Sus scrofa: one gene and its partners. The protein of the gene in region 2 interacts with the protein of the main gene of each other region in a pairwise test. Links are inferred from orthologs where the notes say so. Each region holds a gene or a part of one and is shown on either strand. Other genes may lie near its edges.

Region 1 (4,252 bases), on a different chromosome or scaffold from region 2:
TGCATAGAGGTCACCAAAGATACAAAGCCCAGGTAAACAGGTACCAGGAGAGCAGTGAGTCATTACGATCCCTGGAGAGCTGGGAGAGAATGCCAGTGTGACAGTCGAGCGGGCGTGCCCATCTTCAGCCCCGGGGTAAGGCAGACACACCCTCCACGTGAGGGGGCGATGGAGGAGGCCAAATGACAGAGAACTTTATGTTTCCATTTTTGGGCCCCACCCTAAAATATAAATTTTACTTAATCGCAAGCGAACCACCAGTGACAGCCCACACTCAAGGGAGGGGGCTCTTTCTTCAAGGCAGTGAGCAGCAGGAGGGGGTCACTGGGCCATCTGAGAAGTCTGCCAATCACAGTACCTGACAGCCTGGAGTTCAGCCACTGTGGCCTGTGCTGCATGAAGGCTGGCATGCAGCCTCGCCAGTGAACAAGGGCCTTTATTAACACCAGGGAACAGGGACCTCAAGGCTGGCAGCACGTTTCTCTGAGATCCTTCCCTTGAAGGGAGGCCCCCATTGCTGTCCCCTTGGGGACAACGCTTCCTGTGGGGATGCTGGGTTTCTGTTCACCTGACTGCTTTGGGACAACAGGCTCTGAAATCAGGTGAAGACTTCTGGAGGCTTCCTACTGCTTGCCCCAGAGGGCTTTCCTGAGGCCGTGTGCTCCGTGCTGCCCCTGGCTTGCCCACTGTCTCCCCTCCAGGTGATGAGGCTCTGGAGCCCTAGACCGGACCTTTGCACACCGGTCGGCCTCCGCCCTGGGAGTGGACAGCCGTGGGCTGGGCAGTCTCCTGTGGGGGCATCTCCGGGGTCAAAGCGGCTTCTCGCTGCACCAGCCACAGCCTCTCTGGGGAGCAGGGCCTTGACCAGGCAGGTTTTTTTTACCCCGAAGCCTTCAGCTCCCCCTTGGGCTACTGACTCTCCTTCCAGGGCCCAGCTCCTCTCCGAGGGGTCACACCTGGCCTCCCGCCCGGAGGGTCTTCTAGCTCCACTTCCCCCTTCCTCCTCTGCAGGGCTGTCCCAAGGACCTTCCCTCCTCCACGGCCGCTGGATGGGCAAGCGGCCCCGCGGGGGTCCCCGCTCCACACCCAGGGCTGACCCTCCCGGCCATCCCCCAGAATCCTTCCCGCGGGCGGGGCTCCCTCCCGGGGGCGGGGCTCCTTCCCGGACGTGCCGTGACGCTCACGCCCTCCCCGTCGCGCCCCGCCCCCTCTCCCAGGGGCTCTAGGAAGCCAGGCGGTGGGCACGGGGGGCGGGCCGGAGCCTCGTCCGGTCATTGGCGGAGGCCGCCGTCTTTGGTTGTCAATCCCGCCGGTCCGGCCCCGCCCCGCCGGCGGAGCGTCGGGGGACGCAGGGCCGCGGGGGCTGCCGGGACGGACCCAAGATGGCCGGGCGCCTCGGTTCCGCTCCCGCCTGCGGCCCCGAGTCCCATTCATTGCCGCGCTGCTGAGCGGAGCCCCGAGGCGGCCCGAGGGCTTCGGGGGCTGTCCCCGCGGGGCGAGAGGCCGCCATGGCGACCCTGGAAAAGCTGATGAAAGCTTTCGAGTCTCTCAAGTCCTTCCAGCAGCAGCAGCAGCAGCAGCAGCAGCAGCAGCAGCAGCAGCAGCAACAGCAGCCGCCGCCACCGCCGCCTCAGCCTCCTCAGCCGCCACCGCAGACGCAGCCGCCGCCTCAGCCGCCGCCGCCCCCGCCCCCGCCGCCGCCGCCGCCCGGCCCGGCAGTGGCCGAGGAGCCGCTGCACCGACCGTGAGTGCGGGCCCCCTGCAGACCCCGGCCCGCGGCGACGGGGCGACCCCGAGCCCCTCCCCGGCCCTGCGTGGGTCTCGGCCCCCCGCAGGGCGCGGAGCCTCGCCGGCCCCCCCCGGAGGCACCGGGGCGTCCCGGCCGCGAGGTTAGGGACGGAGCCGGGGCCGTGTTGGGAGCAGCGCTTGGCGGAGCGAGGCCGGCTCCGGTCCCTGCCCCGCCGGCCGCGAGGAGCGGGACCCGAGCCGGAGCGCCGCGGGGGAGCGGTGACGTCATGCCTCGGGGCGGGGGCGGCGGCGCGCGCGGCCCAATGGCGAGTCCTTTCCGAGGCCCTGGAGCAGCCTGTTCCCGCTGCCGCCGGGCATCCCCCCGAGTGCGGGGTCGCGGGCGGAGCCGCAGCGCGTTCGGCGTCGGCCAGAGCCGAGCTTGTCTGCGCTCCCGTTGGTCTGCAGGCTCTTGAGCGGGTTGTGGTGGCCAAGTTCGTGGTGCGCTGTTTAGGTGGTGATGAGTCACGAGGGAGAAACTAAAATTTGCCTGGAGTATTGGGTCGAGTTGACTGTGTGCAGTGCCTGTGTGCAGTGGGAACGAGAAGGACGTGTTGCTGAGGGAGAGGTTCACTGCCGGGGGCGAATGCGGTGCGGGAACGTGGCTGTCCGGGGACCCCGCAGGCGTCGCCTGTCGCTGACATCCGGTGCTGTTGGGAAGTAGGGGTCTCTTGCTTGTGCCAGGGAGAATTTTTGAGACAGAAAAAGAACATTTCAGGAGCTCCCGTCGTGGCGCAGTGGTTAACGAACCCGACTAGGAACCATGAGGTTGCGGGTTCGGTGCCTGCCCTTGCTCAGTGGGTTAACGATCCAGCGTTGCCGTGAGCTGTGGTGTAGGTTGCAGACGCGGTTCGGATCCCGCGTTGCTGTGGCTCTGGTGTAGGCCGGTGGCTACAGCTCCGATTGAACCCCTAGCCTGGGAACCTCCATATGCTGCGGGAGCGGCCAGAGAAATAGCAAAAAAAACCCCAAAACGAACATTTCATTTCATAGAGCACCTTCTGAGAGCACCCAAGCCCTTCCCCTGGAGTCCCGTGTGCCCAGTGGTTCAGCCGAGGCCGGGGCGTGCTCCGCGGCAGGCCAGCCTTTCACCTCGGGCCACTTCGTGTCTGAGCCGAAGGTGGACGGAAGGCATTTCATGAGGACGGCTTTCAAGAAGCAGCCCCTTTAAGGCGCTCACTCTGTTAAGGCTGATGCACTCTTAGCAATGTTTTCTTCTTTTCTTCTTTATGTTTCTGATAGGATCCTTGCTGTGTCAGAGATTTCGTTAGAAAATGAGAGTCGAGGAGTGATTTTGGCTTATCTGTTAGAATAAAATTTAGAAATAATTTTTTTCTTCTAGAAAAGGTCTTTTGAATACTCAGAGGGGAAAAAAATATTTTTTAACAGTTTGCTTTACCTCTGCAGCAAGTAATTTATAACCATAACCCATCGCAGACTTTCATGGTAGTGCATCTCCTGCAGGTGGATGTCATGAAGTTAACACGTGGTTGGGACCTTGTATAAACAGGGGAAGCACTAGTGGGGCTCTGTGTAGGGAGGAGGTTCTACTGCTGTCCCTGTCTGCTCGTGCAATCACTTGGTCAGCCTAAAAATATGCCTTCTGCTTCTTATGCTGATTTGACAGAACCTGAATTTGCTTATCTTCTTCAAAATACGGGTGTAAAGAGGTTTCCTTTTTTAAATTTTTAAAATAAAAAATTGTTTTAAAATTTATAATTATTATTATTTGTCTTTTTGTCTTTTCTAGGGCCGCTCCTGCAGCATATGGAGGTTCTCAGGCTAGGGGTCTAATCAGAGCTGTTGCCGCCGACCTACAACCACAGCCACAGCAACACCAGATCCTTAACCCACTGAATGAGGCCAGGGATCGAACCCGAAACCTCATGGTTCCTCATTGAATTCATTAACCACTGAGCCACGACAGGAATGCCTAAATTTTAAAAATTTTTTATTTATTTTGCTTTTTGGGGCTGCACCTGCAGCACATGGAAGTTCCCACGCTAGGGGTCCAATCAGAGCTACAGCTGGGAGCCTAAACCACAGCAATGCAGGATCCGAGCCACCTCTGGGAACTATACCACAGCTCATGGCAACTCTAGATCCTTAACCCACTGAGCAAGGCCCGCAACCTTATGGTTCCTAGTCGGATTCATTTCCGATGCGCCACCACAGCAACTTTCTGCTGCTGCGCCACGATGGGAACTTCCTTCTTAAGCTAGCTTGATGAAGTAGATTTTGTTTCACTGTTTTATTGTAAGGAAATGTATGATTGACTTATTTTAAACGGAACCTGATTTTTTTTTGCATGAATAACACAGTCACTTGATACAAATTCCAAAATTGCAAAAAGTAAGTAAAGTAGCTCCCATTCTTTTCTCCCAGGTACCTAACTCCATTCCCAGAGGCAAGCGCTGTTACCCTTTCCCCTGGTGTATCCCACCAATGTACATGAAGATAGATTTAA
Region 2 (3,645 bases):
TTCTGTGAGGTAGCTGCCTAAATGCTTCAGTAGTACACTTAAAAGCAAATTGGAATTAACAATGAAATTAACTAGGAAAGATAGCATAACACTATCCATTACTTCCCTTCTCAAAAAATTTTAAGTATTTTAAGAACTACCTGAATTACTACCCTTAGTAAACAGCATATTTTTAATATGCCAAATAATTATTTACTGATATACAGGAGGTTGTTTTGAAATACGCCAGAAACCAAGTGTTTTTATATCTATTTTAGCAAATACTATTTTCTCTGTTTATACTTTAAAAAACTAAAAAATCATCACACACGGTAAGCTGATAAAATAGTTATCTCCAGTAACTGACAGGTACACAAGTCTTGAAAAATAGAAAATCCAAGTATTGCTGATACAATACCAAAGATCTTAGGCTGTGGGGGATGTAAATTTCAGAGCATGACATTCAACCGTCAACTTCAAAATGAAACAAAGACCATTCCTCAGTTGGGAGTTTTACTAATTACAGAGTTTTGCATGATACAAATGAATTTTTAAAAAACTGTTTCAACGAAAATTACCTTTACCTGGGGGTTCCTGCTGCGGCACAGCAGAAATGAATCTGACTAGGAACCATGAGGTTTCAGGTTTAATCCCTGGCCTCACTCAGTGGGTTAAGGATCCGGCGTTGCTGTGAACTGTAGTGTAGGTTGCTGTGGCATAGGCTGGCAGCTGTAGCTCCGATTCAACCCCTAGCTTGGGAACTTTCATATGCTGCAGGTTGGGCCCTAAAAAGATCCACCACCCCCCACCCCCAAAAAAGAGAAGAAAATTACCTTCATTTATTTTGGATATGTCCACATTAGAATTATTAAGTTGCAGTGTGGCCTGCAAAGCAGGAAGTAACTGTCTAAGAAGATTTGGGTCCTGAAGTAGCGGAGGTATTGGTGACTGTGGGACAGGAGAAACGGGGATGGCTGAAGCGGACGTTGGAGGTGCAGATGTGGGGTTCAGTCCAGATGCTGAAGACGTGGAAGGAGTTGTGCAAACGTGTGACACAGATTTGTCTCCCGATGTAGATTCTAAATAAAAAGAAGATATTGAGGCTGAAAAACATTACTTGACTAGAGAAAACTGGAACCAATGTCCAAGAAGCCAGGTGCCTGACTCAAGTCATGTCATTTAATATCAAGAGGGTAGCACACAGAGGAGACTTAGCAGGTGACTGACCAGAATCCTAAGGCAATATCTTATATCCTGATGTCATACATGAGAAAACAACAAAGAATATTATGTAACTTGCCTGAAATCGCAAAGTCTGGTAAAGCAGTGATTCGACCACATGCATGTCTAAGTGCCATATTCCACTAGCAATTCTGTCTCAAAACTTGTACAGGCACACCTTGTTTTACTGTATTTTGCCTTTATTACACTTTGCAGTTACTGCTTTTTATTCACCCCAACAAACTGAAGGTCTTCTGCAACCCTGTATTGGGCGAGTCTATCCGCCTCATTTTCCCAACAGCATTTTCTCTAATTAAGGCATACTCATCACTTTTTAGACACAATGGTGTTGCACACTTAACAGACAACAATGTAAACATAACTTTCGTATGCACTGGGAAACCAAAAAATTGACTCATTTTGTGATACTTGCTTTATAGTGGAAGTCTGGAACTGAACCCATAATACCTCCAAGATATGCCTGTATTAACTTTTGAATAAGCTTCCATCAGGATAAAAGGAAAGAACAATTCACTAACATTCAATTTCTATGTACCATAAACTAACTTAAGGTGAAAATGTTTATGACCACAAAAGTCTAGCTGACTGCCTATCATGTTCAGCTGTTTTGAATTCATAAAGTATAAAGAAAATTGAACTTTCCTTGTGAAAATCTGCTGTCAGATACTACATTTTATGAGACTACAGTAGCAGTTTTTTCCAGATCATATACCTTAAGGTTTAGGTTACGAAATAAATGGTTGAGATACATCTTAATGTTTAGAATGAAACAGGTTCTCTATTTTTACTTCCTGCATGAACAGTTAAATTAGTATTTATATCCCTCTGAAATAACCCTTTTGTTAACTTGTATTGTGGTTTCCTTCTCCCTTTAAAGACAGGAGTTGGAGAAGGTGCAAGTTGTCTTTTAAGTTCGTTTTGGTGCTGCTAAATCTATCTACAGATTTGAAAAATTAACCCAGGCTTGAAATTTTTTCAGTATTACCCTTCAATCCAAGAAAAGGAAAAGACTCCCAAAACAGAAAACTAATACATATCATAAAGAAATAAACCACTATGTAAATAAATGTTTATTTCTCCTGAGGATAGATTTCTTTGCAGTTTTATAAAGGAAGATTATTAATGGACAGTATGAAAACCAGTCGATACTTATGGGAGCCTTGAGCAAGTAAAATCTCAAAAGGCAAGAGGTTCTCTTTTAAAAGATTTGACTTTGAGTATGAACTTATCAGAATTAACTATAAAATTGGAAAAAAAAATAGATACCAGAACTCCACCCCAGATCTAATGAACCAGGGGTGGTTCGGGGGTGGTCCAAGCATCTGGTGAACTTCTAAGAGTTCTATGGGTGACTCTGACACCCCATGCTGGTTATGAGAAAACACATTAGAGAATTTCCTAAGTTCCTTTGAGGGCCGCACCCCACGGCATGTTGAGGTTCCCAGGCTAGGAGTCTAATCAGAGCTGCAGCTGCAAGCCTACGCCACAGCCACAACAACACCAGATTCCAGCCGCATCTGCAACCTACACCACAGCTCACTGCAGCACCAGATCCTTAACCCACTGAGCAAGGCCAGGATGGAACCTGCATCCTCATGGTTCCTAGTCGGATTCGTTAACCACTGAGCCATCACAGGAACTCCATTTTTTACACTATTTTTAAAAGAATGACTCCAGCCCATTCTCCCTAAAAGACACCCAGACATTTGCGTTTGCTCTCCCAAAGCATATTACTTCTTAATATCCTTTTTTTTTTTCTTTTTTTTTTTTTTTGGTCTTTTTGCCTTTTCTTGAGCTGCTCCCATGGCATATGGAGGTTCCCAGGCTAGGGGTCTAATTGGAGCTGTAGCCACTGGCCTATGCCAGAGCCACAGCAACGCAGGATCCGAGCCGTGTCTGGGACCCACACCACAGCAATGCCAGATCCTTAACCCACTGAGCAAGGCCAAGGATCGAACCCGTAACCTCATGGTTCCTAGTTGGATTAACTGCACCACAACAGGAACTCCTATCTTAATATCTTTAATACAACTTGCTTCAACCTGTAAGTATAACTGAGAATAAGTGATTGAGTTTGATAATACAAATATAAAATACTACCCTGAAAGGTAGTCTTAGTTTTATCATTAAAACACAAAATTTGAAAACTACTGGATGGGTGCTGCTCTTTTGCATTCAGAACAACCCAACACAGATTCTATAACACAGCGTCTTCTATTACATAGTTTATCATCTCCTCCCTTCTATCAGAAAGGAACTCCTTCAGGGGAGGAATTCTGTTTTATTTATCTCTGTGGCCCCGTTACAAAATGCCATCAGCATGTATCCACTGACTGAATCTGTCAGAAAGGTCCAGGTGTGTGTTTATATGTGTGCTCTCTCCCTTAAATTATAGGTTCAAAAAAAGGGGAGCAAAGCCTAAGG
Region 3 (4,347 bases), on a different chromosome or scaffold from region 2:
CTGGCCATGCTCACCAGTGAGACGGGGGCTATTTTTCTGAGTTTTCCAGAGCTCCTCTGAGGTCTGCTTGTACTGATCCTCCTTGCTCATGGCCTTGCATTCAGGTGGGGCGATATGTATAGAGATTGTCTTTGTTCACACTGTATTCCTAGTGTTGGGCTCACAGTAAGTGCTCAGCAAATATTTCTTGACTTAATCAGTCAGGACTTCGATGCTTGTGGGCCCAGGCAAGAGCTCACGCTTCCTCCCATCTGTTAGTGCCATGCTAACATCTATGACTCAACCAACATTTACTGAGGCACCTCCTGCCCAGTACTGCCCCACATAAATTAGAACATGAGAAATGCTAGCCTGTGCGCAAAGGACTAAACCAAGGAAGACTGCAAATGGTTGGGCTTGGTGGAGGATGGAAGGCTTTCTGGAGGTGGGGAGCACATCACAGTGAGAGGAATGCCAACTAAAGAACATTGCTAGCCAGCTGATTCTACAAGGATTGCTTAGCCACTACAGTTGTTAACTGAGTCATTAACACAACCTAAAAGGAGTTCAGGATGGATATCAGGACTGAAGCAATCTGTTCTCTGGAGAAAATGATAGAACAGGCCTTCAGATAGTTAGAAATTTTCAGGAAAAAATTTTATAAGCCCAGTTTCTTGCATCTTCCCATACTTAGGAAAGCACTGAAATCATTAAGTCATCTGTGCCTGGTGACTAGAATAACCTTTCACCTAGATATGTGTTTGACTGCAGGTACCCCTTCTCCAAAATCACACATATGCTGACCACCCCTCTACTTCTTCCATGCAGGAGCAGTTCCTTAGAGCTGTCACAGCGGCCATCTCCAGGGCTAAAGTCCTCAGTTTAGTCCCCAAATAAAACAACTCACAACTCTCAGATGTGCAATTTTTTTTCAGTGGACAGGAACCAAACAGAGGTCACCAGCAAGTGCAAAGGTGCTAAGCGGGGAAAATACCAGGCTATAGGTAGCTATAACTTCCTCTGCTCTAAAGCCGTTAGCCCCGAGGCTCCTCTCCCGCAGGCCAGCCCTCTCCCTTTTCTCTCTCCCTGTGTGCGCAAGCCTGCCAGCTCCGCCCGATTCCCCCTTTTGGCTGTCCTCTTCTCACAGCCTCTGGGTTGTACGTCTCTGCTCACCTACCCTGGTGCTCCCTTCCCTCCATCGGTAATCTCGCACACCTAGCGCGCCCCCTCCTCTCAATAGCGCATCCTACCCCGCCCCTCTCTGCTCCTCTCCTATGGCCTCTCCTCTCCTCTCTGCGGCCTCCTCCCCGCCCTACTGCCGCTCACCGCCCGACACGCTTCCTCTCTGCTGCAAATTCTCCGCTCCTCGCCCAGCGCTCTCTGCGGCGCGCCCCTTCCTCTCAGCACGAGGCAGTCTCCTGCTCCTGGGGCTCGCGCTCGTTGCCTAGCGACAGGACGCTACTAGAGGGTAGGTAGGCGCCTGCGTCCCGCGCCGGCTTAGAGGACGCAGGCGCAGTTGTGGAAGTACTGCTTCAGGTGCTGGGCTGAATCCTGCGAACCAAGGCAGTTTTTGCAGTTGGACCTTGTGAGCGCTGCGGTGGCAGTAGACGCCCATGCTCCCCGAGCTTCGGGAAGGTTAGTTCAGCGCCGGCCTCCTCCTCCTCCTCGGTGGTGAGCGGCGCTATGCCTTTTGGAGGGATACGGAAGGCGGGCACCCTGCCGGGGACCTGGGATAGAAAAGCAACCGAAGCGCTCGGAATCCAGGGTTGCCAGATAAAATTCGGGGTACGCATTTAAATTTGATTTCAGAGAAATAAGGAATAGCTTTTTAGCACAATATAGGATAATGCAAAATCATTCCTTATTTATCTGAAATTTAACTGGACATCCTGTATTTTTGTTTGCAAAAAAAGCAACCCTACCACTGGCCACCTTTCTCCCAAGCAGGAGCGAAGAACCTCTTTCTGTTTCTTGTGACAGCTTATGCAGGCTTGAGGCAGCTCTTTCTGTGGGAAGATGCTTTCTTCTCTTGAGCCAGGATGGCTGTTGGTGTGTATAAAAAATAGCATTACTTATAACAGGCTTTTCAGATGGGTATGTCGCTAATTCAGGAACAAGAAATAAGCCAAACGAGGTAACGAGTTCCACCTGGGTTCCGCTGATAATGCGATGCAGGCTGCCTAGATGTGAGACTAACCCTTTACTGGAGGTTTCTCCTTAGGAACCACGGGCCCATTCCCATGTGTTATCTTTCAGGAGCAGCGGCAGGAATCGGCTCCCTTTTTAATTGTTATTCCATTCCAAATGATATTAAGCTGTCAATGTAGTTATTTTTGTCTTTGAAGAAGTGCAGTGAAGATACTGTGTTCCATACTCAGCTGTAATAAGACATCAATACTAGCTTGATAGGGAATTAGGTTCGTTTGTGCCAGTTTTTAATTTGTTTTTATGACTGTATATATGTATTAGCGTTCCTTTCTCCACTGTTGTTGCTAATATAAAGGCGGCATATAAACTGCAATTTATGCATCTTGCTTTTTTTCACTTCACACTTTGTCCTAGGGATCACTCCTAATTTGGGGGATCTTCCTCTTTCTCTTTTTTTTCTGCGCAAAAATCCATTGTGTTGCTGTATCTCATCAGTCCTTTATTGAGGAACATTTGGATGGAGGTCGAAACTTGGCTATTCTTAGTAATGGTGCAGACTAACCGGTGGATATATTCATATTTTTGTAAGATAAGATCCCAGAAGTGAGACTGATGAGTCAAAATGTAAAGTCATATGTAATTTTCTACACATTTCCAAATTCTACTCCATGGGATTATGCCATTTTGTACTCTGCCACCACATTATGAGACAGAGCACTATTGGAGTATATGGATGAAACTCAGAAGGTCATTGTTTCTGAGGTTTTGTGCAGAATGTTAGGTACATTTATTCCAGAACAGGTCAAGACACACTGGCATTCTGTCTTCTATAATTGCTCATGCCTGACATGTAATAAGTTCTCTTTCTCCCTCTCTCTCTCTCTCTAGGGCTGCTCCCATGGCATATGGAGGTTCCCAGGCTAGGGGTTGAATTGTAGCTTTTGCTGCTGGCCTATGCCGCAGCAATGCGGGATCCGAGTCGAGTCTGCAACCTACACCAAGCTCATGGCAACACCGGATCCTTAGCCCACTGAGTAAGGCCAGGGATTGAACCCACAACTTCATGGTTCCTAGTTGGATTCATTAACCACTGTGCCACGATGAGAACTCCTATATATATTCTTTTTTGTTATAGTTGATTTACAATGTTCTGTCAGTTTCTGCTGTATCAATATATATTTTTTGAATAATGAATACATTTCATCAGATTCTCAGAGGAGTCTGGATTCATTAATGGTAATTTGCAAGGTGATCAGTTTCTTCAAAGCACCTGAGATAGAGTGGTTACTGCATTTCTGTCTTCCTTCCCCCTCTTTCTTCTTCTTCTTTTTTTTGTCTTTTTGCCATTTCTTGGGCTGCTCCCACGGCGTGTGGAGGTTCCCAACCTAGGGATCTAATCAGAGCTGTAGCTGCCGGCTTATGCCAGAGCCATAGCAACTCGGGATCCGAGGTGCATCTGCAACCTACATCACAGCTCACGTCAACGCTGAATCCTTAACCCACTGAGCAAGGCCAGGGAGCGAACCCGCAACCTCATGGTTCCTAGTCGGATTCATTAACCACTGAGCCATGACCGCAACTCCTCTTCTTTTCTTTCTTTCTCCTTCTTTCTCTCCCCTCTTTCTTTCCTTCTCTCCTCTCTTTTTCTTTCTCTCTCTCCTTCCTTCCTTTCTTTCTTTCCTTCTTTCTTTCATCTCTCTGATCTAAGATCGTTCCTGTCCATATTCATAACTGAATAGACTGGGACATTACTGGGAGAGTGGAGAAACTCATTCACTTGCTGCCGTGGAGAGCCAGCCCTGTTGGTGCTGTGATTAAAACACACTCCTAGAGGAGCTAGAGGAGCTTATCCTTTAGTGGGGGGACAGACATGTCCATGCACAGATAATGCTCAGGCAGTATGATAAGGGTCATGTGAGCTGTTGGGGGAAGGACGGCTGTCTTTGTGTTGCCTGGAGATGGTGGTAGCAGCCACAGCAAGGGGGAATGACAGATGATTGATGCCTTGCAGGTGAGGAGATAGTCTCCAAACTGAGAGTGAGGGGTCATCACGGGCACATATGATGGAGATGGAATTGCACAAGGTGTGAGCAGCAGAATGACAGGATGTTCTGTATGGTTAGAGCCCAGAGTATGTTGGAAGCAGAAAAGATTTCTGGAGGTGAGCTTGGAAAGAAAAGTGGAGCCAGAGCATGAAGAGCTTCATGTGCTAGTCTTTGA

Evidence for each region.
Region 1: the proteins of WAC (region 2) and HTT interact in binary tests that used the Homo sapiens proteins (3 or more experiments, as listed by UniProt). The link is inferred for Sus scrofa from reciprocal best matches to the Homo sapiens genes WAC and HTT.
Region 3: the proteins of WAC (region 2) and DYDC1 interact in binary tests that used the Homo sapiens proteins (3 or more experiments, as listed by UniProt). The two-hybrid records come from large-scale screens. The link is inferred for Sus scrofa from reciprocal best matches to the Homo sapiens genes WAC and DYDC1.

What each region holds. Positions count from the first base shown.
Region 1 is NC_010450.4:1,808,404-1,812,655, forward strand, and holds the start of HTT (huntingtin), read left to right. Parts: upstream 1-1,364; 5' UTR 1,365-1,508; coding exon 1,509-1,744; intron 1,745-4,252.
Region 2 is NC_010452.4:40,005,981-40,009,625, reverse strand, and holds part of WAC (WW domain-containing adapter protein with coiled-coil), read right to left. Parts: intron 1,059-3,645; coding exon 813-1,058; intron 1-812.
Region 3 is NC_010456.5:82,194,273-82,198,619, reverse strand, and holds the start of DYDC1 (DPY30 domain-containing protein 1), read left to right. Parts: upstream 1-1,459; 5' UTR 1,460-1,614; intron 1,615-3,754; exon of another isoform or gene 3,755-4,288; intron 4,289-4,347. UniProt on the Homo sapiens protein: Functions as part of axonemal radial spoke complexes that play an important part in the motility of sperm and cilia. Plays a crucial role during acrosome biogenesis.